7 linked regions of the Ovis aries genome follow. The protein of the gene in region 1 interacts with the protein of each later gene in a pairwise test. Links are inferred from orthologs where the notes say so. Each region holds a gene or a part of one and is shown in the gene's direction. Other genes may lie near its edges. The genes, in order: BANP, PPIF, FOXR1, SH3RF2, C1H1orf94, CEP76 and ZMIZ2.

The links.
Region 2: the proteins of BANP (region 1) and PPIF interact in binary tests that used the Homo sapiens proteins (3 or more experiments, as listed by UniProt). The two-hybrid records come from large-scale screens. The link is inferred for Ovis aries from reciprocal best matches to the Homo sapiens genes BANP and PPIF.
Region 3: the proteins of BANP (region 1) and FOXR1 interact in binary tests that used the Homo sapiens proteins (3 or more experiments, as listed by UniProt). The two-hybrid records come from large-scale screens. The link is inferred for Ovis aries from reciprocal best matches to the Homo sapiens genes BANP and FOXR1.
Region 4: the proteins of BANP (region 1) and SH3RF2 interact in binary tests that used the Homo sapiens proteins (3 or more experiments, as listed by UniProt). The two-hybrid records come from large-scale screens. The link is inferred for Ovis aries from reciprocal best matches to the Homo sapiens genes BANP and SH3RF2.
Region 5: the proteins of BANP (region 1) and C1H1orf94 interact in binary tests that used the Homo sapiens proteins (3 or more experiments, as listed by UniProt). The two-hybrid records come from large-scale screens. The link is inferred for Ovis aries from reciprocal best matches to the Homo sapiens genes BANP and C1orf94.
Region 6: the proteins of BANP (region 1) and CEP76 interact in binary tests that used the Homo sapiens proteins (3 or more experiments, as listed by UniProt). The two-hybrid records come from large-scale screens. The link is inferred for Ovis aries from reciprocal best matches to the Homo sapiens genes BANP and CEP76.
Region 7: the proteins of BANP (region 1) and ZMIZ2 interact in binary tests that used the Homo sapiens proteins (3 or more experiments, as listed by UniProt). The two-hybrid records come from large-scale screens. The link is inferred for Ovis aries from reciprocal best matches to the Homo sapiens genes BANP and ZMIZ2.

Annotation. Positions count from the first base shown.
Region 1 is NC_056067.1:12,999,131-13,001,707, forward strand, and holds the end of BANP (protein BANP), read left to right. Parts: intron 1-82; coding exon 83-322; intron 323-1,437; coding exon 1,438-1,509; 3' UTR 1,510-2,077; downstream 2,078-2,577. UniProt on the Homo sapiens protein: Controls V(D)J recombination during T-cell development by repressing T-cell receptor (TCR) beta enhancer function. Binds to scaffold/matrix attachment region beta (S/MARbeta), an ATC-rich DNA sequence located upstream of the TCR beta enhancer.
Region 2 is NC_056078.1:34,158,271-34,160,508, forward strand, and holds part of PPIF (peptidyl-prolyl cis-trans isomerase F, mitochondrial), read left to right. Parts: intron 1-812; coding exon 813-909; intron 910-1,443; coding exon 1,444-1,519; intron 1,520-2,238. UniProt on the Homo sapiens protein: PPIase that catalyzes the cis-trans isomerization of proline imidic peptide bonds in oligopeptides and may therefore assist protein folding. Involved in regulation of the mitochondrial permeability transition pore (mPTP).
Region 3 is NC_056068.1:29,296,059-29,299,558, forward strand, and holds part of FOXR1 (forkhead box protein R1), read left to right. Parts: intron 1-400; exon of another isoform or gene 401-526; intron 527-1,120; coding exon 1,121-1,195; intron 1,196-1,289; coding exon 1,290-1,531; intron 1,532-1,769; coding exon 1,770-1,996; intron 1,997-2,985; coding exon 2,986-3,224; intron 3,225-3,500. UniProt on the Homo sapiens protein: Transcription factor which acts as both an activator and a repressor.
Region 4 is NC_056058.1:54,955,529-54,959,028, forward strand, and holds part of SH3RF2 (E3 ubiquitin-protein ligase SH3RF2), read left to right. Parts: intron 1-920; coding exon 921-1,190; intron 1,191-3,500. UniProt on the Homo sapiens protein: Has E3 ubiquitin-protein ligase activity. Acts as an anti-apoptotic regulator of the JNK pathway by ubiquitinating and promoting the degradation of SH3RF1, a scaffold protein that is required for pro-apoptotic JNK activation.
Region 5 is NC_056054.1:9,141,673-9,145,172, forward strand, and holds part of C1H1orf94 (uncharacterized protein C1orf94 homolog), read left to right. Parts: intron 1-1,006; coding exon 1,007-1,252; intron 1,253-2,324; coding exon 2,325-2,500; intron 2,501-3,500.
Region 6 is NC_056076.1:43,561,647-43,565,699, reverse strand, and holds the start of CEP76 (centrosomal protein of 76 kDa), read left to right. Parts: upstream 1-1,253; 5' UTR 1,254-1,383; coding exon 1,384-1,446; intron 1,447-2,076; coding exon 2,077-2,232; intron 2,233-3,278; coding exon 3,279-3,360; intron 3,361-3,962; coding exon 3,963-4,053. Other genes in the region: PSMG2 (proteasome assembly chaperone 2), read right to left, coding at 924-980. UniProt on the Homo sapiens protein: Centrosomal protein involved in regulation of centriole duplication. Required to limit centriole duplication to once per cell cycle by preventing centriole reduplication.
Region 7 is NC_056057.1:78,405,727-78,409,175, reverse strand, and holds the end of ZMIZ2 (zinc finger MIZ domain-containing protein 2), read left to right. Parts: intron 1-2; coding exon 3-247; intron 248-748; coding exon 749-918; intron 919-1,001; coding exon 1,002-1,241; intron 1,242-1,560; coding exon 1,561-1,596; intron 1,597-1,954; coding exon 1,955-2,062; 3' UTR 2,063-2,949; downstream 2,950-3,449. UniProt on the Homo sapiens protein: Increases ligand-dependent transcriptional activity of AR and other nuclear hormone receptors.

The DNA of each region.
Region 1 (2,577 bases):
GGATGCGGCTGCACGTTTGAATCATTGTTCCGTCGTTCAGTCCTGTCCTCTGTGCTGACGTGCGTCTTCTCTGTGTCTCAAGGTGCTCCAGGGGGCCCAGCTGATAGCAGTGGCTTCTTCGGACCCGGCTGCCACAGGGGTGGACGGCTCGCCGCTCCAGGGCAGCGACATCCAGGTCCAGTACGTCCAGCTGGCGCCGGTGACCGACCACACCGCTGCGGCCCAGGTGGGTCCTCCCTTCGGGAAGTGCACAGGGCCCGGGGCTCCTGCAGGTGTGGACACGCTTGGGCCTTTCTACCTCGGACCTTCTTCCGTGAGGAAGGTAAGTGACCGTGAGAGGTGCCCGTGTGGACCTAGGTGCTCACTTGGGATTCTGTCTCTCGTAAGTGCCTGGAAGTGTGAAGGTGAGAAGTCGGTTCCTGGCCCAGGGACCAGCTTGAAACCAGTTCTTGAGATGCTCTCAGGCACATGTTTACCTATGAGTTTAGAGACCAAATCAAGTACACCTGAGGCCTTGCTGCTCCTCGTGTTGGGGCAGGGCCAGCCCAGGGTCCGAGGTCCTGCAGGCCCATGTGTGGGTTTGTAACCCCCAGTGATGGTGCTTGGTCAGGAGACCATCATGACCTCCCCTGGGTCTGGGGGAGCCAGACCTGGACTCCCGTGTGGTGCCCAAGCCCGTAGGACAGGCAGAATCATCGGGGTCTGTCAGGGTGTGGTCAGGCTCAGACTGCTGGGGCGGGGGTGACACAGGTATGCTCTCCTGAGCGTCCTCAAACCCAGCCCCTCTGGAGGAGCCCTCTGCTGAGCCCTCAGACTGGCGGGCAGACACCCTGACTCCCGCCACCCCCACTATCGGGAAACGCTATTATGTCCATGGGATGTTTGCACTGAGAAAGCACAGTCTTGAGCCACAGTCGGAGGAGCAGCACCAGCCCCACTGGGGCCTCTGCCTCCCCTGCGTGGCCCCAGGAGCCACCCAGCTAAACTTCATGCCAGGGGAGCCCGCCTCCACTGCCTTTGGCCAGTGGCTTAGGGAGTCCCCAAAAACCGCCAGACCGTCTCTCTCTGGGGGCCCCATTCTTGGTGGCTGAGATGCGTGGTCAGTGACTTACTCTAAGACTGTATTTTTCCCTTTGACTTATCGTAAACCTGTGAATATGCTGACGACTTGGAGGGTGCCCCCAGTGAGAAGCAGGGTGGGAATGGAACCCAGTGCTGGTTGGGGGGGAGGGTGCTGGGGCACTTGTGGGAGGGGTGAGTGGGTGGGCCGGTGGGGGTAAAGCGGAGGCCCTGCAGAGGGACCTTGGCGTCCCCGGGTCTGTCAGTGCCTGGGCCACCAGCCCAGGTGTGTGTTCTACTCTGTGCCTGAAAACCACGCATGTCTGTGACCGGGCGTGGCCTGGGCCCTTTGATGGAAAGCCCTCTCCCCTCTTGCAGGCGGCTGACGCCCTGCAGCCCACCCTGCAGCCTGAGATGCAGCTGGAGCACGGGGCCATCCAGATCCAGTGAGGCTGCTGACCCGCCCAGACCCAAGCCACGCCGCCGCTGCGTGCTGACCCCTGCACGCTGGCCCCTGCCACCTACACCGTTCACACGCGCCCGCCCCTAGGCTTTGCACGGGAGGGGCCTGCCTGCGTGCTGCTGAAGTGCATCCGAGCACCCGTCCATGGGGAGAGTGCCCTGGGAAACGAAGACAATGGTAGCCCCTGCCACCCTCGCCCGGAGACCCTGTTTCTTTTGATCTCCTGGAACGTCCAGGGAAGGAGCGGGAAGCACAGTGCGGTTGCGTCAAGTGCACGCTGGAAATCAAGAACTGCGATATTTTTCTCTGTTTAAACAGCTTTTTTTAATTTGCTATGGTGTTTATAACAAAAAAGAAAATCGAAAAAAAAATGGAGTAGCAGAAACCTTTTGCTGTGTGATCTGTTCAGTGTAACAAGGATAGATGTTCACAGGAGACGACTGATGATTTTGATGGAGACGTTGCTTACCTACTTTTTTAGGGGGATGGATGCGCTCAGCGCTATAATTGTGCGTTTCTAATGGAGTACATGAAATAAATGTATTTATGACCACGGCAGCTGTCGCAGTCTTTCCTCCTGGGAGCTGCCTCCTCCCCAGCACCGCCCCCACACACCGGCGGCACGCCCCCCCACACCGCCCCCTCCACACACCGGCCGCAACCCCCAGCACCGCCCCGCACACGGCCCCCCCCCAACCCCCAGCACCACCCCCCACACACCGGCGGCACACCACCCCCCAGCACCGCCCCCCAGCACCGCCCCCCAGCACCGCCCCCCAGCACCACCCCCCAGCACCGCCCCCCAGCAACACCCCGCACACACCGGCACCCCCCCCCAGCACCACCCCACACATACACCGGTGGCACCCCCAGCACCGCCCCCCACCCCCCGGCGCCCGCACACACACCGGCGCCCCCCACCCCCGGGCCCCCGCCCCGCACCCTGCCCCCCCTCCCCAGCACCACCACCCCACAACCCCCCAGCACCCCCCCGCACCCCGCCCCCCATCACCACCCCGATCCCCAGCACCACCCCCACACACTGGCGTCCCGTT
Region 2 (2,238 bases), on another chromosome or scaffold:
TTGAGCAGAAGCCGAAGCGGATGTCCAAGCTGGGCTAGGATCTTACTCTTACCACAGTAGGCAAGGGCAGGGACTCCAAAGCTGGTGGGCTCTTGGAGGCATGGGATGGTGGGACCAGGCACGGGGAGGCCTGGTCCTCTCTGGGGACACCTTATTGGCATTTGTGGATGCTTCAAAAGCAGGGCTAGTCAGGTCATCCCTGTTACCCGAGGAGGTCATCTCAGGAAAAGAGCAATATGATGGGGGCTGGGGCCTGGGGCTGGCAGACCCTGGGCTCTTCTGTCTGTGGCTCCTTGTGGAAGCCTTGGGCAAGCCGTGAGGAAGACCACCAGCCCTGGGTGGACTTTGTCCTAGGCCGGGTGAAAGGGAGATGCTGGGACAGGAACTGGGGCTCAGCAGAGGGACCTGCCTCTGTGCCAGCTACCCGCAGACCACACTGGGGAGCAGGGACTCCTGGCCTCCTCCTTGTTTACCCTTCAAGAGTTGTGGGTAGAAAATTCTAGGTCTCTTAAGAAGCAGCTCGAAATGGCTGAGAATTTTTAAGGATCATTTAAAATCTCACTCAGACAAAAATGAATCATTCGGAAACCAGGGTAGTTATTGGGGCAGAAAGTATTAAACCTTTATTTTGTTGTTGCTTACGTTCCTTAGCATTATATTAGCCCTTCTATCACTGGGTGTTTTCTGACCCCTTTGGCTGAGGGCTCCCAGCTGGGTAGGCCCTGGGGGGCTGGGCGCTGTGTCCCAGCATGGGAATAGCACCCCTCTGCCAGCTCTAGTGGCGACACTCAGCTAGCGCTCCGTGTTCGCAGGCTGGTGACTTCACCAACCACAACGGCACGGGGGGAAAGTCCATCTATGGAAGCCGCTTTCCTGACGAGAACTTCAAGCTGAAGCACGAGGGGCCGGGTGAGTAAGGCTGTCAGTCCCCACCTGGGCATGTGCCCTGAGCTGTGAGCCTGGCGCTGCCACCCCAGCAGGCCTGCAGGCTGCAACCGGATGGCTCCACATCTAGGGACACATCCTCCCTCCTTCAGGGTGATGGGTGGGCTTACTGGATTGTCCCAGAGGCTTTTTCATCCTGAGCTCTCAGTTTCAAAAACAAATCTTTCTTTGACCACCATGCTCTGAGAGCCGTTAAGCAAAGCCCTAGCTTTATGTTACCTTTAGGACCCAACGTGAAATGTGGAAAAAGCTAGAGTTCAGGGCTGGAGGTCCTGCCCCTGCTCTACCACTGAGAGCCTCCAGGAGGCCCTTCCCTCCTGTGTCATCAAGGCGGACAGGCCCTGGGTGGCTGTGTGCTCTGGGCTTGGCTCTCCTTTTCTGAGCCCCAAGTATCTTCAGCCGCAAGCATCCTTCCTGTGGTGTGCATCATCTGCTCTTGAACAGTTCCCAGGTGAGATGCCTCCTGGGGCAGCCTGCTCATCCCGCTTGTTTTCGCAGGTGTTCTGTCCATGGCCAATGCAGGCCCCAACACCAACGGCTCCCAGTTCTTCATTTGCACCATAAAGACAGACTGGTGAGTTGCCAGCTCCTGGTCCAGGCCCTCAGGGTAGCAGGGGTGGCCTTGAGCTGGAGCGGGAGGATAGTTTGAGGCCAAACTCTCTGCTCTGGGGCAGTAGCCCTCACCCGGCTGAGTGTGTAAGAGGAGAAAGGCCCCAAAAGCATTGAGGAAGAATTTGGGTTATTTTGCAACTCTTGTCTTTTATCAGGCTTCCCATTGTTGCTGTAGCTGGAATTTCTCAGTGTTCTGAGCATGCACACGTACACACAGGAAAGAATTCTCTTACCAAATACATTGGGGAGATGCTGCAGAACTTATCAGGCCTCGGGATGGCTTGTGGCAGAAGCTTGCTCACTCGGTTTAACCTGCCGTTTCCCAGCTTATTTAACTTTGGGCTGCACCTTGGAAAATGCTGCAGTAGACAACATTTGGATATCATACCGGATTTCTCATCAGGCATTAGCACCAGCCTGTTGCAGCCACCAGCCCTGCTGGAACCCTCTTTCCCATTGCCCTTGTATTTTAGGGATGTCTTCCCAGGTCAGTTTCCCACTACCTAATCAGTTTTCGCTTCCCAGAGTCCCCTATGTCCTCACCCTGAGGCATCTCAGCGGGGTGAGGGGACAACAGCTGGCCTGGAGCTAAAACTTAATAAAGCCCATTTCCAAGGACTTTAGGGAGACCCAGGAGGTGGCGGATACTAGTGGTCTGTAGCCTCTGAGCCAGAAGGGACA
Region 3 (3,500 bases), on another chromosome or scaffold:
CCTGGGCTGCAGCATGCCAGGCTTCTTTGTCTTTCTCTATCTCCTGGAGTTTGCTCAAACTCTTGTCCATTGAGTGGATGATGCCATCCAACCATCTCATCTTCTGTCGCCCCCTTCTCCTTATGCCCTCAATTTTTCCCAGCATCAGGGTCTTTTCCAATGAGTTGGCTCAAAATTGCAATATGATAAGTTAAAGAAAAGGTAAACAGAACTTTTAGGTTACAGGCTTAGACTGGGATGGTAGAACTTGGTGATTGACTGGGTGTGGCTCTATAGCAAAGAGGAGACAAGAATGATTTCCACCCACAGATATAGAAAACAAGCTTATGGTTACCAAAAGGGAAGTGAAAGTGAAGTGAAAGTGAAACTCTCTCAGTTGTGTCTCTTTGCGACCCCATGGACTAGAGCCTGTCACGCTCCTCTGTCCATGGAATTCTCCAGGCAAGAATACTGGAGTGGGGAGCCTTTCCCTTCTCCAGGGGATCTTCCCAACCCAGGAATCGAACCCAGGTCTCATGCATTGAAGGTGGATTCTTTACCGTCTGAGCCACCAGGGAAGCCCTGAAGGGAAGTGAGGGGAGGGATAAATTAGGAGTTTGGGATTAACAGATACATATTACTATATATAAAAAAGATAACCAACAAGGACCTACTGTACAACACAGGGAACTATATTCAGTATCTTGTAATAACCTATAATGGAAAAGAATCTGAAAAAGAATACATATATATGGGTGTTGTTGTTTAGTCACTAAGTTGTATCTGACTCTCTTTTGACCTTGTTGACTGTAGCCTGCCTGGTTAAAGTGCTTGTGGGTTATCCCATAGACAGTTATACTTAAGGGCTAGCAGAGAAGTCTAGGCTAGAAATAAAGATATGGAAGCTTTGAGTTTATAGATGGTGACTGACTGAAGTAACAGGCATTAATGAGATGGTTCAAGGACATAATGTGGGGTGAGAAGGGAAGAATGCAGAGGATAATGAGAAGGTCAGAGAGATAAGGGGAAACCCATAGAATAAGACATCACTTCCCAGGCAGGGCCCATAGCCATCTTCCAGGGAGGCTTCAAGGCCACAATGGAAATCCTAGGATGTTTTGACTCTCTTTCTTTTTGCCAGTTGCCAGATATAAACTCCGAATAGTTGAGCCACCAATGCTACTTCTGGAAAAAAAACCCAACCCTGATAAAGATGGTGAGTGAAGGGAAGTGACATGGCCCTGTGGCCTGGGTGGGCTGCCCAAAGTCCTTGGGCTACGGGCCACAGTCTCTTTCTCTCTCTATTGCAGGTCTAGATTTTGAGCCCAACTTGTGGATGTGGGTAGACCCCAACATCATGTTCCCCCCTGGAAAGCTGGAGGTCCCGGAACCCAGTAAGGGGAAGAATCTGACAACCACAGCTCCCTCCCCTCAGCCAGTCCCAAAAGACTTTGACAAATGTCCGGAGGCCACAGAAGTGGAGTCGCTGTCACCCCCTGGAGACCAGTCTTCCCCTTGGAAGCAGTTTGCCACCTCCCCCGGCAACTGGGAGGTAGGGATTTCTGGGGTGGGCTCTAGGCAGGGAGTGGGCCCAGGGATGACGCAGCAGAGGGCTCTGTTTTCTTAGGACTGACAAAGGGTTAGTGGGTTCAGAAATTAGCTGTGCCCCCCATCTTCTGGGGTGGGGAGAAGCCCAGATGGTGGCCTTGGCCCACGGCCCCTTCCTGCCACCGCACCCCTGGAGTCGAGACCATGGAGTCAGGACCAGTTCCTACTCTGTGCTCCTCCAGCTCACAGAAGAGAAGGAGGCAGAGGACCAGGATGACCGCTCCTCTGTGGCTCTCCCGTCCTCTCACAAACCGGCCCCCCTCCAGAGTCGGAGGCTTCGGCAAGCCAACAGCCAGGAGGGGAGGCTCTGGTCCCGGCCCCCTCTCAATTACTTCCACCTAATTGCACTGGCATTAAGAAACAGTGCCCCCTGTGGCCTCAACGTGCAACAGATCTACAGTTTCACTCGGTATGTGCCGGGGCCCTGTGAGGAGGGCGAAGGGAGGGGGCAGGGCCCTGCTCTGATACCTTCCAGTAGGCTGGGGGCCCTGGGCTGCTGCCTCACCTCCCCCACATGTACCCCAGAGGATCCCTCTCTGTTCCCAGGCCCTGGTTCCAGGTTGTCCCCGAATATGTGTCCTCACCTCACATAGACAGGATAGCCACCACCACCCCTCACATCTAAGAGACTCCAACCTTTTTATAGCTTAGTTCTTTTTTTTTTTTTAAGTTTTTGTTACAATAATTCTTTCTCTTTTATGTTTTGTTTTTTGACCATGAGGAATGTGGGCTCTTAGCTCCCTGACCAGGGATCAAACCTGCTCCAGTTGCATTGAAAGGCGAAATCTTAACCACTGGACCACCAGGGAAGTCCCTATCTTAGTTCTTCAAAACATATTTTCACCTGGGTCATAAATTCTGTCATCTTCCCTCAAGATCCCCCAGCAGTTTCTCACGTTTTCCCTTTGGACTAAACTAATCTGGCACGGCCTGTCCCCCAGGGACCCAGGGAAGCCAAGCTGAGAAAGGATTTACATTGCTTTCTGACAGTCAGGTACCCATGAGTATGAGGAGTTTTTTGGACCTTTTCCCTCTGTTAGAAGAGTCAGTCACAGAATATTAATCCTCAAGAGGTGTCCTCCTTGACCAGGATTCCTCTGACAGAAGCTGTTGGCCTGATTTTAGCTCTGTTCAGTTGTCAGTCCTGAACCCTTGGAGGGAGGGAGGAAGGAAAGCGAGCCTGGGAGTGTAGGGGCAGTAGACTGAGTTCAGAGGGTTAGGCTTTGTACCAGCTGCGCAGCCACAGGCCTAGTCAGCACAGTGCCTCGTGGGCCAGCTTCTGCTTCACCACCTTGAGAGGAGGGCTGGGGGCTCCTGGCCCCTGGGTGAGAATGTTCTCCAGGAGAGGCATCTCCCAGGAAGACCACCCCTCTCCTGACCATTCCTCCATGTCCACAGACAACATTTCCCCTTTTTCCGGACGGCTCCTGAAGGCTGGAAGAATACCGTGCGTCACAATCTCTGTTTCCGAGACAGCTTCGAGAAGGTGCCGGTCAGCATGCAGGGTGGGGCCAGCTCACGGCCCCGATCCTGCCTCTGGAAGTTGACTGACGAGGGACACCGCCGCTTTGCAGAAGAGGCCCGTGCCTTGGCCTCCACCCGGCTGGAAAGGATCCGACAGTGCATGAGCCAGCCAGGTGTGAGGCCTTGTCACACGTGAGGCCCAGGGGAGGGGACCTGAAGATCCTGACCCGAGGCTGGGTGTGCATGAAAGGAGCTAGGGTCACACCAAGGTGGAGGGGAGGGGCAGCTTCTGGAGGGAGGGGAGAAGCCAGAGGTGTTCTGAGATGCTGGGTGGTGCCTGCCTGAGGGGTCCTCACAGAGACAAGCATGGCAGGTGAGGTATCGGGAGCTGAGGCGAAACAGCTGGTGCTGCTCACAGCCCCGCAGCCTGGGGAAGTAGTGACCACATG
Region 4 (3,500 bases), on another chromosome or scaffold:
AGCAAGACCAGAGTGAGACCGTTTCTCTGTGGAGAAACCAGTTTCAATTAGGAAAAAAATGCATTTGACTGAAATAATTGTTTAGACTGACAACTGATTTGACAAATAACAATTCTTTAGCTGAATATTTTTAAGTGATGATTGATTTCTGATTGTTAATTTGTCTTAGTTGTGCTTGCTAAAGACACAAACACACATGGGGTTTTCAGTTTCTAGACAAGGCTGAAGACAAATTATGGTGTATCACTCTCACATAGCACTTTCTATTTTCAGGGAGTTTTCACCTCAGTTTTCTTCCCATTAACACTGAGGAGTAGGTAGAACTGATATCATTAGCCCTACATTACAGATGATCATTCTAAGAAGTGTCATCTGTTGAGCGCATTCTGTGCACAATATGAAGTAATATACAAATGCATCATTAATATCCTTTAGTCCTCACAGCAACTCTAATAAGGTAGATATTGTTATCACTTCATCTTATAAGTGAACATGGTTTAAGAAAGATGAAATAACTTGACTGTAGTCACATAAGAGCAAAGAGGTGAAGCCAGAATTCAAAATCAGTATTCCTAGCAAGAGTCACGGTCTTACCCAAGTTCCCATAGTTGCGGAGTCAAGTTCAAAGTCCTGCTCCCTGCATAGTGATTAAGAACAGGGTCTCTAAAATCAGATTGTCTGAGTTCAAGCCCCATATCACCATTTCCCGGCTGTGCCACCTGAAGTGAGTTACTACACCTCTCTGTGCCTCAGTCACTCCACCTTAGAAACGGGGATAATACTGTCTCAAAGGTTAAACAAGGTAATCCACCTATGGCACTTAGTGCATGGAAAGTACTCTGTAATTAGTAACTAATGTGACCCCCTTGGTCCCTCCAGCCTCTAAGCCATATATATTTTCTTGATCTGTATCACTGCAGGTGCCTCGAGCAAAGGCCTTATGCAACTACCGAGGGCAGAATCCCGGTGACCTGAGGTTTAATAAGGGAGATGTCATCCTCCTCCGAAGACAGCTGGATGAGAACTGGTACCAGGGGGAGATTAATGGAGTCAGTGGAGTCTTCCCGGCCAGCTCCGTGGAGGTCATCAAGCAGCTGCCCCAGCCACCCCCACTGTGCCGGGCCCTCTACAACTTCCACCTTCGTGACAAGGACAGGAGTGAGAACCAGGACTGCCTGACCTTCCTCAAGGTGAGGTTCTGAGAAGCCACCAAAGTCACCAGTGATCACATAAAGGCTGTGGCAGAACTTAAGTTGTTTGTTGATGTTTTAGAATTACATTTTATACAGGCTTCCCTGGTGGCTCAGTGGTAAAGAATCCACCTGCCAATGCAGGAGGCGCAGGTTTGATCCCTGGCTTAGGAAGATCTCCCGAAGGAGGAAATGGCAACCCACTGCAGTATTCTTGCCTGGAGAATTCCATGGACAGAGGAGCCTGGTGGGCTACAGTCCATGGGGTCTTGGAAAGTCGGACGCAACTTAGTGACTAAACATCAGTGAACAGCGTGCGCCTGCATATGTTATGTGTTTGCATACTTCAAACTGTATGGAGGTGAAGCCACCAGAGAAATCTAACAGGAGTCTGATGGAGGTTCTCAAACATTTGTATTGCAATTATGAAACCAAGTATCCATACCCTCATTCATTCATTCATTCTGCAGCCACTTGTGACCACCTGTTCTTTTCAGACACTGGGGAGCCAGCATGAACAAGTCACAGCATCTGTGCTTGGGCAGAGTAGTGGGAGAAACAGATGGTTAGACAGAAAATTGTAAACATAGTTTAATAGCATGCTCTATAGAACTACGGATCTTACCTCTTCATTGAGTGTCTGCAAGGATATTCTTGCTGACCAAGGTCACTACTGCTTGTTTACAACACTATTTTGTCTGTAGACATTGCCTTCAAAACACTCCAAACAGCAACTACTGAAGCCTGCATGCCTAGAGCCTGTGCTCCGCAACATCAGAAGCCGCCGCAATGAGAAGCCCGCGCGCCACAACAAAGAATGACCCTCACTCTCTGCAACTAGAGAAACTCCGTGTGTAGCAACAAAGACCCATCACAACCATGGATAAATAAGTACATTTCTAAAAACCATTCCAAACACACACAATAACATAATTATATCTTTACACATAGATAACCTCTTACAAGATATATTTTCCAAGGACATCAGTTACCCTACGATTTTTTTTACCTCTCTTTTTTATTGGCTGATTCTTCACCATTTGTAAGTAACAAGTCTGCTGAAGTCTAGACCATAGCCATCCCTGTATATTCAGGGTGAGGGGGTGGATCCAGGACACAGTGAGTCCTGAGGATGCAGGGTCCGTGGATTCAGAGGGTCAACTGTACTCTAAGTCTCGAATCTGAGCAACCTTCAGGAGGTAGTGAGGACAGGGAAGCCTGGTATGCTGCAGTCCATGGGGCTGCAAAGAGTTAGCAACGTAGCAACTGAGCAACAACAAAATTCAGTACTTATTATTCCCTAAACATTCTAATTTTCTCATAGAAACTAAAGTTGGGGTAATTTTTATTCTTTGCAACTTAAGTCAAATACAAGTGCAAGTAACACTGCTACAGTAAGTTCAGGAAAAGTCTTTTGTTTTGTAAAACATTTTTATTCCATCACTCCCTGAAATGAAATTTGCTTCAGATTCCCTCAGACCAGATAACTTCACTGTCCTCCATATTATGAAATACTGATCTTTGTTATTGTCTTCACACCTCAGAGTGAGTCCCCTAAAGAATACCATTCATTAGCCGACCTGCACATTTTATACTTTGGCTACAGCCAGAGGACAGCAGTTCAATTCCACAAGCGTTTATTGAGTATTTACTTTATGCCTGGCATTAGACACTGAACTCTGGGGACACAGCCAGAGGAAGATACAGGCAGGGAGCATATCTGCTTTTGTGTCCCCTCTCTGGGAATTTGCAAACTGGGACACTTACCCAAGAACTTGCTCATTCATTGAATTCATCCATGTACCAGGCTGTCTATGCAGATACAGTGAAGAGTCATTGTCCATATCTTCATGGAGCCAGCAGTCTAGTGGAAGGAGCAGACACATAAATGGGAAATTATGACAAAGGACTCAGAAGAGAGGATTTGCTCCCTCCCAGAAGATTATCAGTGCTTCCCCAACGGCTCATCATTAAAGAATCTGTCTGCCAATTCAGGAGACACTGGTTTGATCCTTGGGTCGGGAAGATCCCTTGGAGGAGAAAATGGTAGCCTGCTCCAGTATTCTTGCCCAGAAAATCCAATGAACAGAGAGCCTGTCGGGCTACAGTTCACAGAGTCCCAAAGAGTCTGACACGACTGAGCACAGCACGGTGGCAGAAGGCTGTCATAGGCTGAGACTTCACTAGGAAATCTCATGGTCTTCCTATAGTCAGCTTGTCTAAAAAAAAACTCAAGATCTTTTCTCCCAAAGCTACTCTTTTCCTGGTATTTTCTGTCTCAGTAAATTTTCCAGTTTATTCACACATGCA
Region 5 (3,500 bases), on another chromosome or scaffold:
TCCTTGCACAAGGGAGACTTGGTCTGTTTGGAGAGAGAGAGCTGAGCCTGGCACCGGCAGCAGCCAGTGGCTCACTCGTGCCTCTGTGCCTTTGCCTGCGGTCACCCATGGCTCTGGGTGCAGGGCCTCGCTGCAGACCTCCTCCTCCTGGAATCCCTCCGGTCCTCAGACAGAAGCTGTCTCAGCCGCCCTCTTCCCCCGCTGTGTCCCTCCATCACCTCACGGTCCCCATCTGCCTTGTCCCGGAGCTATTTCTGGGTCTGTCTCTCTCTTCCTCCGTGTTGTGAGTTCCTGCTGGGCCAAGTCTGGCTCTGACTCATCCAAGTGTCCCCAGGACTCAGGTCAGAGCCTGGCGCTGATGAGTGTGCTGAATCGCCACGACGACTTAGCAAGAGGAGAGTCTCTGACAAGGGACCAGCTGCGTGTTGTGTGGGAATGTGTCTGCGCCAACCACCCCCCCCCCCCACCGCCACTAAGCCAAGTGTGCTCCCTGAAGACAGGAACTATCCGGAACCTTTGTGATCCAACCTACAAATGGTTAGAGGGAAGGAAGGGAGGCAAAAAGAGGGAGAAAGGAAGAAGCGGCAGGGAGGAAAAGAGGAAGGAAGAAAAGAAAGAAAAGAAGGTAAGGAAAGAGAGGGAACTAAAAGGGAGGAAGTTTTTTAAGGAGGAGAGAATGGGATTAGGGAAGGGAGGATGGATGAGTGGATGGAAGGAAGGAAAGATGGATGGGTGGGTAAAAGGATGGATGGATGGGTGGACAGACGGAAGAAGACAAGAATGGATGAATGCATTCATGCATGCAAGGGTGTGAGACCGTCATGGGCGCTGGTCAGGGAAGGCTTCAGGGACTGGACTTGGACTGAACTTGGTTGAGAGAGAGCCCAGAGTGGTGGGAGTCTCAGGTGTGCTGCGGAGGATCCATGACTTTGTCCACAAGACCATGCTCCCCCCATCCAGCATGTGGTCTTCCAGAGTCACTGACTCAGCTTCTCTCCTGCTCTAGAACGGAACCCAGGTGCCAAGGAGCTGACCAGGGGCCGAGAGAGCCTCTTTCTCAGCCAGTGGTCCCCGAGCCGGAAGGACACCTGTGGTGAGGAGGGTGGCAGTGACCCCATGGCTCTGCCGGCCAAGAAGCCTGCCTGGCAGGCTGAGAAGAACCTGCTCTATGAGGTCCTTGGGGCCACCAAGAACCCAAGCGGGCAGCTGAAACTTCGTGGCAAAGTGGAGGTGGACAGGCTGGAGCTGAAACGTAAGCTGACCCTGCCCAGATCTCTCTATGCAGGAAGAGAGTCTATGCAGGAAGGGATTTCAGAAACCCTCATAGGCCCCTGGAGTAGCTCTGTCCTCAAACGGCTGTCATCCATGGGCAGGTCACTGTCTTTCCCTAGTCCTGTAAAATGGGGAAATGGCTTTCTTCCTGTGTCACCCCTACAGGGAAGAGCTCAAGAAATCTAGCTGACTTTCAGGGGTCACATGGGCCTTATTGGTGGTTAATTTGAATATAGCCCTGACTCAGCATGTCTTATGTCCCCTCAAGTTGCCTGAGCCAAAGAAAATCCCGTGCTTTAAGATTATTTCTACATTTTGAAAAAAAAAAAAAAGATCATTTCTACATTTCGATTATTCACGTCTCAGCTTTCTCTCCCTTGTACATCTAAAACTGTTTTAGTAAAACATTCTCCCCTCAACAAAAGGTGCTAAAAAGGGGACACTGATACCCCATCTCTAACTCTTAATCCCACAGGACATATTATAGAAGGAAAGAATCCAGGATTCATATCCTGAAACAACTCCATCAAATATCATTCATTCAGACTAATTTGGGATCTTACCAAAGGGGATTATATAATATTTTTAAATATTTTTAAAAAATGACTCTGGCATAGATGCAACACCTACATAAGGTCCTCGCTGTTGCCAAGTGCATGTCCCCAGTGGGGTGCTTTAACAATTTGATAAGAATGGCTTCCCACAGCGTAGCAATTGTTTGTATCAAACTGGATTTTTCCGAAGCACTTGAAGGAATATAGTTTTGCACGTAGGTGAGACAAGCTGGTTGATTGTATCTCTTGCTAAACTGCCTCCTTACTTGTGAGTCGTGAAGGAGATGCTCCATGGCAGACCATGCTGGGCCTCTCACCCCTTCCACGTTGGCAAGATGTGAACTAACAGTGTTTTCCTTGAGCTTTGAAGAACGCTCTGGGAGCCTTAAAATACCTGACTGGTGAGAACACTAACTCTGGGGGCAGTCATGGAGCTGGGGCAGGCTGGCCTCTCCCTTCCTCAATCACGAAACGTTCTACCTCTCCTGTGACTTACAGTTAACCCACCTGTGACCGGGGCCGACAAGAACAACCTCAAGTACACGGGGAACGTGTTCACCCCACGCTTTGCCACCGCTTTGACCTCAGCAACTCTGAACCAGCCCCTCTGGCTCAACCTGAACTACGCACCTCCGCCCGTGTTCACAAACCCCTCCACCTTCCCCCAGTACCAGGTGAGTGAGCAGGTCCGGGCCCAGTTATCCGGTGGTGGCCGTCCAGGGAGGCGCTGTGGCTCACAAGGAGCCTCATTCACAAAGAGCCGTGGGCTCATTAGTTACTTTCTTCACAGGGACACCATCAGACCGACTGCCAGATACGCGTGCGCATGCATCTCACACACACACACACACACACGCACACGCACACACACACGCGCGCACACACACGCACACACACGCGCACACACACGCGCGCGCGCACACACACACACGCGCACACACACAAGCGCGCACACACACATGCACACACACGCGCATACACACGCACACACACGCACGCGCACACACACATGCACACACACACGCACACACGCACACACGCACACGCGCACACGTGCACACACACGCACACACACGCACACACACACACACGTGTGCCTGTTTCTCATTTTCCTTTGTCTGGATTCCGGCTCACTCTGTGCTGTGTCTTTCAGAGCCGCTTGGCTAATCCTGGGCTGTGAAGTACTTGGGCTCCCAGGGAAGCCTGACCGACGGCACAGTCCTCGTTTCCCACCGCCTCCTGGGGCTTGCTTTGTAGTCGGATGACACGTGGCCTGGATTACTTGGGACAGTCCCCGTTTTGGTCTTTTGTCCCAGCATAATTATTCATTGTACCCCCTTTCACTCTCAAGCGTCCCAGATGACAAATTATGTGGCCGTTTTATTTCAACTACAACCTAGCAATCTTAGCTTCTACCGGCTGAGGTGGCTTGGTACACAGTCTTGGTCTTGGACTGAGAGCTAAGAGGCGTCAGACACAAAGGGGTGGGGGAAACGCTTGCAAGGCTGACGGTTTTACTCACACAACTTATTTACTCCGGGAAAATGTAGTTTCTTTCGTTCGTCTATTTAACTTAATCTCCTGTAAGAGCTGCCACCCACTGGGTAGAGAGATGAAAAAAAAATCAAATAAATGTCCATTCTGATTTAAACCATAGTCCGAACCAAGAGCTTA
Region 6 (4,053 bases), on another chromosome or scaffold:
CACAAGCAGGACCTTAGTTCCTCGACAAGGGATCAAACCCATGCCCCTTGTAGTGGAAGCGCAGAGTACTAGTTACTGGACCAGGAGGGAAGTCCCCACTGACATTTCTTGCTTTCATTATGAAAACTGTCGAAAAGTGACTTTTCTATTACCATCGTCCTTTTAAAAACGGATACATATATGTTAGTTTCAGGTGCACAACATTGTGATTGAACGTCTGTACACATTGCAATATGATTACCTCAACAGGTCTACTTAACGATCATCACCACTCAGTCAAAAAATTATTTTTTCTTGTGATGAGAATTTTAAGATCTACTCTGTTACTTTCAAACATACAACACAGTGTTAACTATAGTTACTACGTTGCAAATTACATTCCAGGACTTATTTTTGACTAAAAGTTTGTACTTTTGACCCCTTTCATCCAATCTGTTCTATGTGTTTTTTTTAATTCCACATACGAAGCTTTTCTTAACAGATCTTTGTATCCCTCCCCTTCCCAATAAATCCCCGGGTCTTTCTGTACCCCTTTCAACGTTCTAACTTTATTTATTTACGTGTGTTCCCAACTAGACTGCGAACTCCTTGAGACACAGAACCTGGTTTTACCGTTACACACTGACACAACACAACGCTCACTGAAGCAATGAATGAACCGCGATAGAATCGCGTGCTGTCGCCAAGTCTTTACCAGCCCGTCTGCAGTTTCCTGACTAACGACAATCACTCCCCAGCTTAAGCGCGATACAGAGCTCGCGGAGAAAAGATTTTCCAAGAAGGTACAGCGAGTGGCCCACACGGCACCAACGGAGCGCAAGGTCACGTCCCCGCACATTTCGCTCACAGCCACCAGGACCCGGCCCCACAGACTCGCGCGCGTCCGGGGGCCGCTCTGACGCCAGACCCCTGCCCCGACTCACCATTAGGAGGGTGCACCCCGCGAGGTCGGGGACCGAGTCCCCGGAGGGTACGAACATGGTTTCGCCGGCGGCACAAGGAGCCGGCGGCCGGAAGTGCGGGCGACTCCTGGGGTCCTTCGAGGCCCCGGTCGCGGGGTCCTTAGGTGCCCGTCCCACTGCCTGCCGGGGCGGCGCGCGGGAGGGGCTGCGGGCGGGGGTGGCGGCCGGGGCGGCGCGCGGGAACAGGCTGGCGGTCAAGGCGCGGAGTCTGCGGGCGGAGACGAGCCGGGGCGCCGGCCGAGGTGACTGACAGGCGGCGCGGGGACAGCCTCGCCGCCGTTTGGAAACAGCAGTTGGAGCCGCCCGGTTCCCCCGCCGGCCTGACGCGGCCGCCCCCGGAGCGCGCGAGGCGAGCGGTCGCGGGCTCTGGCTCCGCCGCGGAGACGCTGCGGCCGCCGGCGTGCCCGACGGGGAGGCCAGCATGTCGCTGCCGCCGGAAAAGGCGTCCGAGCTGAAGCAGCTCATCCACCAGCAGCTGAGCAAGGTGAGGCGGTGAGGCGGTGAGGCGGCGGGCGGGCGGGGGCTGGGCCAGCGGGCACCGCGGATACGCGGGGAGAGGGCTGAGGGGCCGGAGGCCGTCACTTCATGGGAGGCGGCACGGAGGGGCTGTCGGTCCTCGGGGTCAGCCGGGGCTCCAGCCGCCGCCCCGTGCCGAGTGTTAGCGTCTCCCTGCCCCGCGGCGGTCCTGACCCCCGCCGCCTCCCCCAGACGCGTAAAGGGTCACTCCGTTAACCCTCGGCCACAACTAAAAGGTTGAGAGAGTTTACTTTTGGCCTTTGGTCGCTCCTCCGCTGCTCTGCTCTAGTCTCAAAAGACTGGTTTCAGTCGGGTGTTATTTGTGGGGAAGTGCTAGCAAATGTAATAGATAAGCTTAGAGCTTATTTTTAGAGTTAAAAATATTTATCCTTAAAGTTTTTTTCCTTTAAAAAACCTTACCTTTATTCTCAGTGAATTTCGGTAACAATCTCACACTGTTACTTGAGAAACCTTCCTGAGTTTAACTACTCTCTCATTATTATTATTTTGTGGTCAATATTTTGCAAAGATGTTAGCTAGTTGGCTATCTTTGACTGCTCTATGACGTTTTAAGTCCTAATGCGAGTTTTCTACCTAGATGGATGTCCATGGCAGGATAAGAGAAATCCTTGCTGAGACGATTCGGGAAGAATTGGCACCTGATCAACAACAGCTATCAACCGAAGATTTGATCAAAGCCCTTAAACGCCGGGGAATCATTGATGATGTGATGAAAGAACTTAATTTTGTTACTGTGAGTAATCTCTTAGAGCAAGACATTTGAGAGTCTTAAGTACATTCTCATGTTTAATACCACTCTTAGGGTCCAATTTGGGGCCTCTCTTTAGTGAAACTACTTTTTAAATAAGACCATTTTGTCTAGTAATATCTGTGTCTCAGGAATGAGCTACTTCACCCTTGAGTGGAGCGGGTAGGATTATGTATCAGTGAAACTGAAATTATGGACCTAATTATTCCCTTTACAGTGAGAGTTTTCTCTTATACTCTAGGTCTGAAACTTTAAGTGTGTATATTAGTCAAATTAGTTCACTCCAAGTGTATTTTTTCTAAATTAATATCCTGAAATCTTTCTACACAAAGCTTATTATTGAAGTAAACACATTGTTTGGTGCTGTGTTCTCTAAGATGAACAGATTGTTTCTTTAAGAAATTAATTGTCTGCATAAGAACTTTCAACTCTTTTCATATAAATAGGTCAGTAGTGAGGTGATGCCTCTCTGCACAAATTAGTAAGTAGGTCTTTTGAAAGTGAGGCAATAATGAGAGACTGTGACCTCAATACCTGGGTAACATAATGTGGAAATTGGATGGGCTTCATAATACACCAGAGAATAAGTATTTTAGTCCAGCGTCCTTTTTTGGTTTTTGAGGTTTATAAACTCATTTGTTATAAAAACTGACCTAGTAATAGCTTCTGCTGTGTGAATGTCACTTCCTTATTATAATCAGTTCTGTTCCTGGTGGAACCACAAGCCAGATGTCATATGAGGTTTGGAGAAAGTTTAACCTTCTGTAAAGTGTTAAAAATTTATTTTAGCATTCTGTGGACATGGCTTGAAGATCATGAATTCCTTCATGCTAGACTTTAGGAATGACTAATTAGCTGCATTATTGTTTCAGCAGACTTTTCATTATTCTGACTCTGCTAGGAAAGTTAGGGCATTTTGAGGGGGCTTTATCCTGTCTACTTTTAGTTCAGTTCTTAGTCCCATTATTGGCATTTTCTTAACTGTAATTTTTGTTTTCTAATTTGTTATGATTTTTTTTCTGCCATTCTAGGATAATGTTGATCAAGAACTCCCTTCCTCTCCAAAACAACCTGTTTGTTTTACTGACAGACAATCAACGTTATTAAAAAAAAGTATGTTTATTTCTTTTTAACATTAATTTAGTTGTGGATAGTATTGCATATAGATGTGCTATAGTGTTTTGTATTTGAGAGAAAGCATTTTGATTTTTTTTTCCAGAATGAGGTGCTTATGTTTTATGATAAATCATCCAAAAAACTTAGATTCTATTTTGCATGAAGTGTATCAAAGATTTAATGTATAGCTGAGTGGAAGCAAAAGCAGGACTATTTGTTTTTCATGTTTTATTAATATATTTTATAAATTGTACAGCCTCTTTTAATGGCAGTGTAATTATCTAATAAGTGTACTTGCTGAGTTGGTAATTATCCGAAATTATTTGTTGTATAAGAAACTAAAGAAAAAAAGATATTCTAAACCTTGGCTCTAACTCCTGTCTAGATGGAAGAAAGTAGCCAAAATATAAATCAGAAAAGGATATCCTATTATGTATTTTTTCTTCCCTGGGTATAAGTGAGCCTGGTATATAGTAGATTTGTTACTCTTCCTTTTTTTAAGTCTTTAGTTTTATTCCTGTCAAGTTATTTCCTGTTGTCTTGATCACATTGCTTAAGTTGATTGGCAGTTTCCTCATATGTATTGCTACACTTTACAGCTAATATTGATCCAACACGGAGGTATCTTTACCTTCAGGTTTTGGGTGGAAAAGCTTTCTTGGAACATCTGCAAGAACCTGAGCCTTTACC
Region 7 (3,449 bases), on another chromosome or scaffold:
AGCTCTGACTACGAGGAGATCACCATCGACCCCACGTGCAGCTGGAAGCCAGTGCCGGTGAAGCCTGACTTACACGTCAAGGAAGAGCCAGATGGGCCGGTGCTGAAGCGCTGCCGCACTGTGAGCCCTGCCCACATGCTCATGCCCAGCGTGATGGAGATGATCGCTGCCCTGGGCCCGGGTGCCGCGCCCTTCACCCCTCTGCAACCCGCCTCAGCCCCGGCCCCTGGCGACTACCCTAGCCAGGGTGAGTACACGGGACTCGCCCTGGAAAATTAGGGCCCTGGGCGATGATCCAGCCTCTCCCACCAGCCTGCCGCCTGTGAACACGTTGCTCTGAGGTCCGCAAGCCTGGGGGCCTGGTTGGGGACTTGGGGGTACAGATGCCCAGCTGGGTGTGGGGGATGGGCAGCGGGGCCCAGGCTATGGCTGTGCCCACCTCCCCAGAGGTTTGGAACAGAGGTCTGTGTTGGCACACTTCCAGACCAGCCCCATCCAGCCCTGCGGGTGGGAGTATCTGGGTGTGGTGGGTCCCATTCCTGTCCCCTCGCAGCCTCCTGGCAGTGTCATGACCACTTCCCCCAGCAACAACGAGAAGAAATGCCCTTTCCCAAGTAGCAACTTCCATAAAGGCCAGCATCCTCTGGGCGAGCGCAGTGAGTCCCACCCGTGCTGTGGCCAGTCTGCCCTCGTGGCTCAGCCAGCATGAGCCCCCTGCCCTCACCTGGATCTGGCTCTCCTCTCTCAGGTTCCAGCTTCCTGGGACCCGGGACCTTCCCCGAATCCTTCCCACCCACCACACCCAGCACCCCAACCCTGACTGAGTTCACCCCAGGGCCTCCGCCTGTCTCCTATCAATCCGACATTCCCAGCAACCTCCTTACGCCAGAGAAGTCCGGCCCCTGCCTCCCAGGCCAGGTCAGTGTCAAGTCGAGGGGCTGTGGAGGTGTCCCCCCAGGGAGCCCTCGAGCTGTTTTACTAGGTTATTCTCTCCTCCTCAGATGGCACCAGCAGGTCACCTGGACCCAGCCCATAACCCCGGGCCCCCGGGGCTGCACGCCCCTAACCTTGGAGGCCCCCCAGGGCCCCAGCTGCATCATCCAAACCCTCCCCCAGCATCCCGGCCAGCTCTGGGCCCAGTGAACTCGGGGCCTCTCAGCGAGCTGGCCTTCAGTGCTGCCACAGGCATGATGGGGGCCCCCATGTCTGGGGCAGGGGAGGCCCCGGAACCGGCTCTGGACGTGAGTACTGGGCCCTGTGCTGGGGAGCACTTGGAGCTGGGGCTCAGGGGTGCTTATCTGTTGTCCCCAGGGTCCGTGCACTTCATAGAAGCAAAGACAGTGACTCCTCCATGGCTTCCAGACTTGGGGAGAGCTGGTTGGGTGATGCCAGCAGTTTTGTTGAGTGTCAGGTGTCAGAGTAGCTATGGGGTGATTGTGTCCAGGCACCTGGTTCTCGGGACCTGTGCGCCAACGTGGCACATGCAGAGTCCCCGGGAAGACTTGGCTTGTGGCCAATGACACCGGCCTTAGGGTCTGACTTGACTTGTCTGACTCACAGGTGGTGTGCGAGCCAGAACCAGTGCATAAAAGACAGGTGATTGTCCCTCCATCCTGATAAATGAATACAAAGTTCAACGTGAAAAAGTGTGGAAAGCACAGCTCAAAGCAGAAAATTCCACCTTCTGCATTCATGCTGTTCGTGTTCAGGACCCCTCACGGGCTGGGGTGTCCCATGTTGTCCTTGGACAGCTTAACACAAGTGATTCCTGGTTGCAGAGCAGTCTTTGGCAGGAAGAGGCCCTGTGAGGAGCAGGCTGAGGGGCTCTGGTGCTAGCCTGTGTTGGAGGCTGGTGGGGGGGGGCACCCCACTTCCCGGCTGGGCCTGGGGACCCGATTGAGATGATGTGGCAGGTCTGAGGCCAGAGCTGCTATCAGGTTTGCTTTGTCCCCAGCTGCTTCCAGAACTGACTAACCCTGATGAGCTGCTGTCCTACCTGGGCCCACCCGACCTCCCCACGAACAGCAACGATGACCTGCTTTCTCTCTTCGAGAACAACTGATCCTATCTGTCGACCACCTGGCTGACAGGGACATGCCCACCGATGTCTCGCACCATTCTTTCCAGCCCAGCCTCACCTGACACCAGCGGCCCTCCCCACGTATACACCTGGAGCTGGGACCCACCCCTGACACCTGGCTGCTGGAGGTCGAACTGCACTGGCTGGGAGGGGAGCCCTGGGGCAGGGTTCTCACTGGCCCAGTTTGCAGCTGCAGAACTGTTTTTGAGGAGATGCCCAGCCCTGCCCCCATCTGTACCAGCCCATGCTTGTCCAGCCCTGCCTGGTTCATGCATACCCACCACCCCTGAACTCCAGCCTCACCCAGGCCCCCACCCCGCCTGCTCCCACCAGCCTGCATCTTGTCCAGCGTTGACCTTTCTGTTTCAATGACCCGTTTGGCCCTAGGCCAACAAAGAGTGGGTTACTCTGTCCTGGGGCCTAGTCTCGCCCAGCCCGCTATGGCAGGGGCTTCAGGCTGAGGCTGGGGGTTGGGGGCTCTAAAGCACAATAGTGTACATAGTGTAGAAACACTAATAGATGTAGGGTGGCTGGTCCCTCTGTGCAGCTTGGGTCTCCGTGGGCTCCTGCCCTCACCCATGTGCAGGCCAGGAGGGGTGGGGGGCAGCAGGCTCCCTCCTGCTGGCCATTGGGCTCAGACTCAGCTCCACGTGCAGATTCTCCAGCAGCCTGTTCCCCCCAAGTTGCCCTTTTCTGTAAGCGTGAAGAGTTGGTCCCACAGTGTTTTTTAAATCCACCTCTCCTCCCATGTCCACCCTGGGGCCACGCCAGGTGGGGGCGGAGGGGCCACCACACTCTAGGTGCAGGGCCAAGTCGTGTCCCCTGTCTGCCTGTCTCTATTAAAGGACTCCCTCGTGGTGGGCCTGGCAGTCCCTCCTTCCTGCTCAACCTGCTTACCACACATGGGCGGGGCTCCCTGCTCAAAGCAAGGCCCAGCTATTTGCAACCCGTGGTAAATTTCCTTGTCCCTGGAATTTTCCAAGTTGGCTCTGGCTAGAGAGCTATTTGTGAAGTGTCACCAGGACTGGGAGACACATCTGCCACCACGTCACTGTGTGGGCTTGCCTCAGGCGTGGAGCCAGCTGTGGGGCCAAGGAGCAGGGTCTGAGTGCCTGACCAGCTGGACACTGGTTCATCTGTGCGCTCACTGCCCAAGTGGCCCCATGGGCCTTCCAGTCCAGCAGAAAAGGCTTATGAGCCCTGTTGGGGAGAGGGGGTAGCACACCCAGAGACCGGCCCCAGTGGATGCGGGGCAGTGTCCAGGATGGGGGTACTCCAAGTTGCCCACTGACATCTTGAAACCCCAGGTGTGCGCCTTCCTACTCCTCTGCAGCCCTGTTTCTGCCCGAGGGAACAGAAGGAGAGAAAG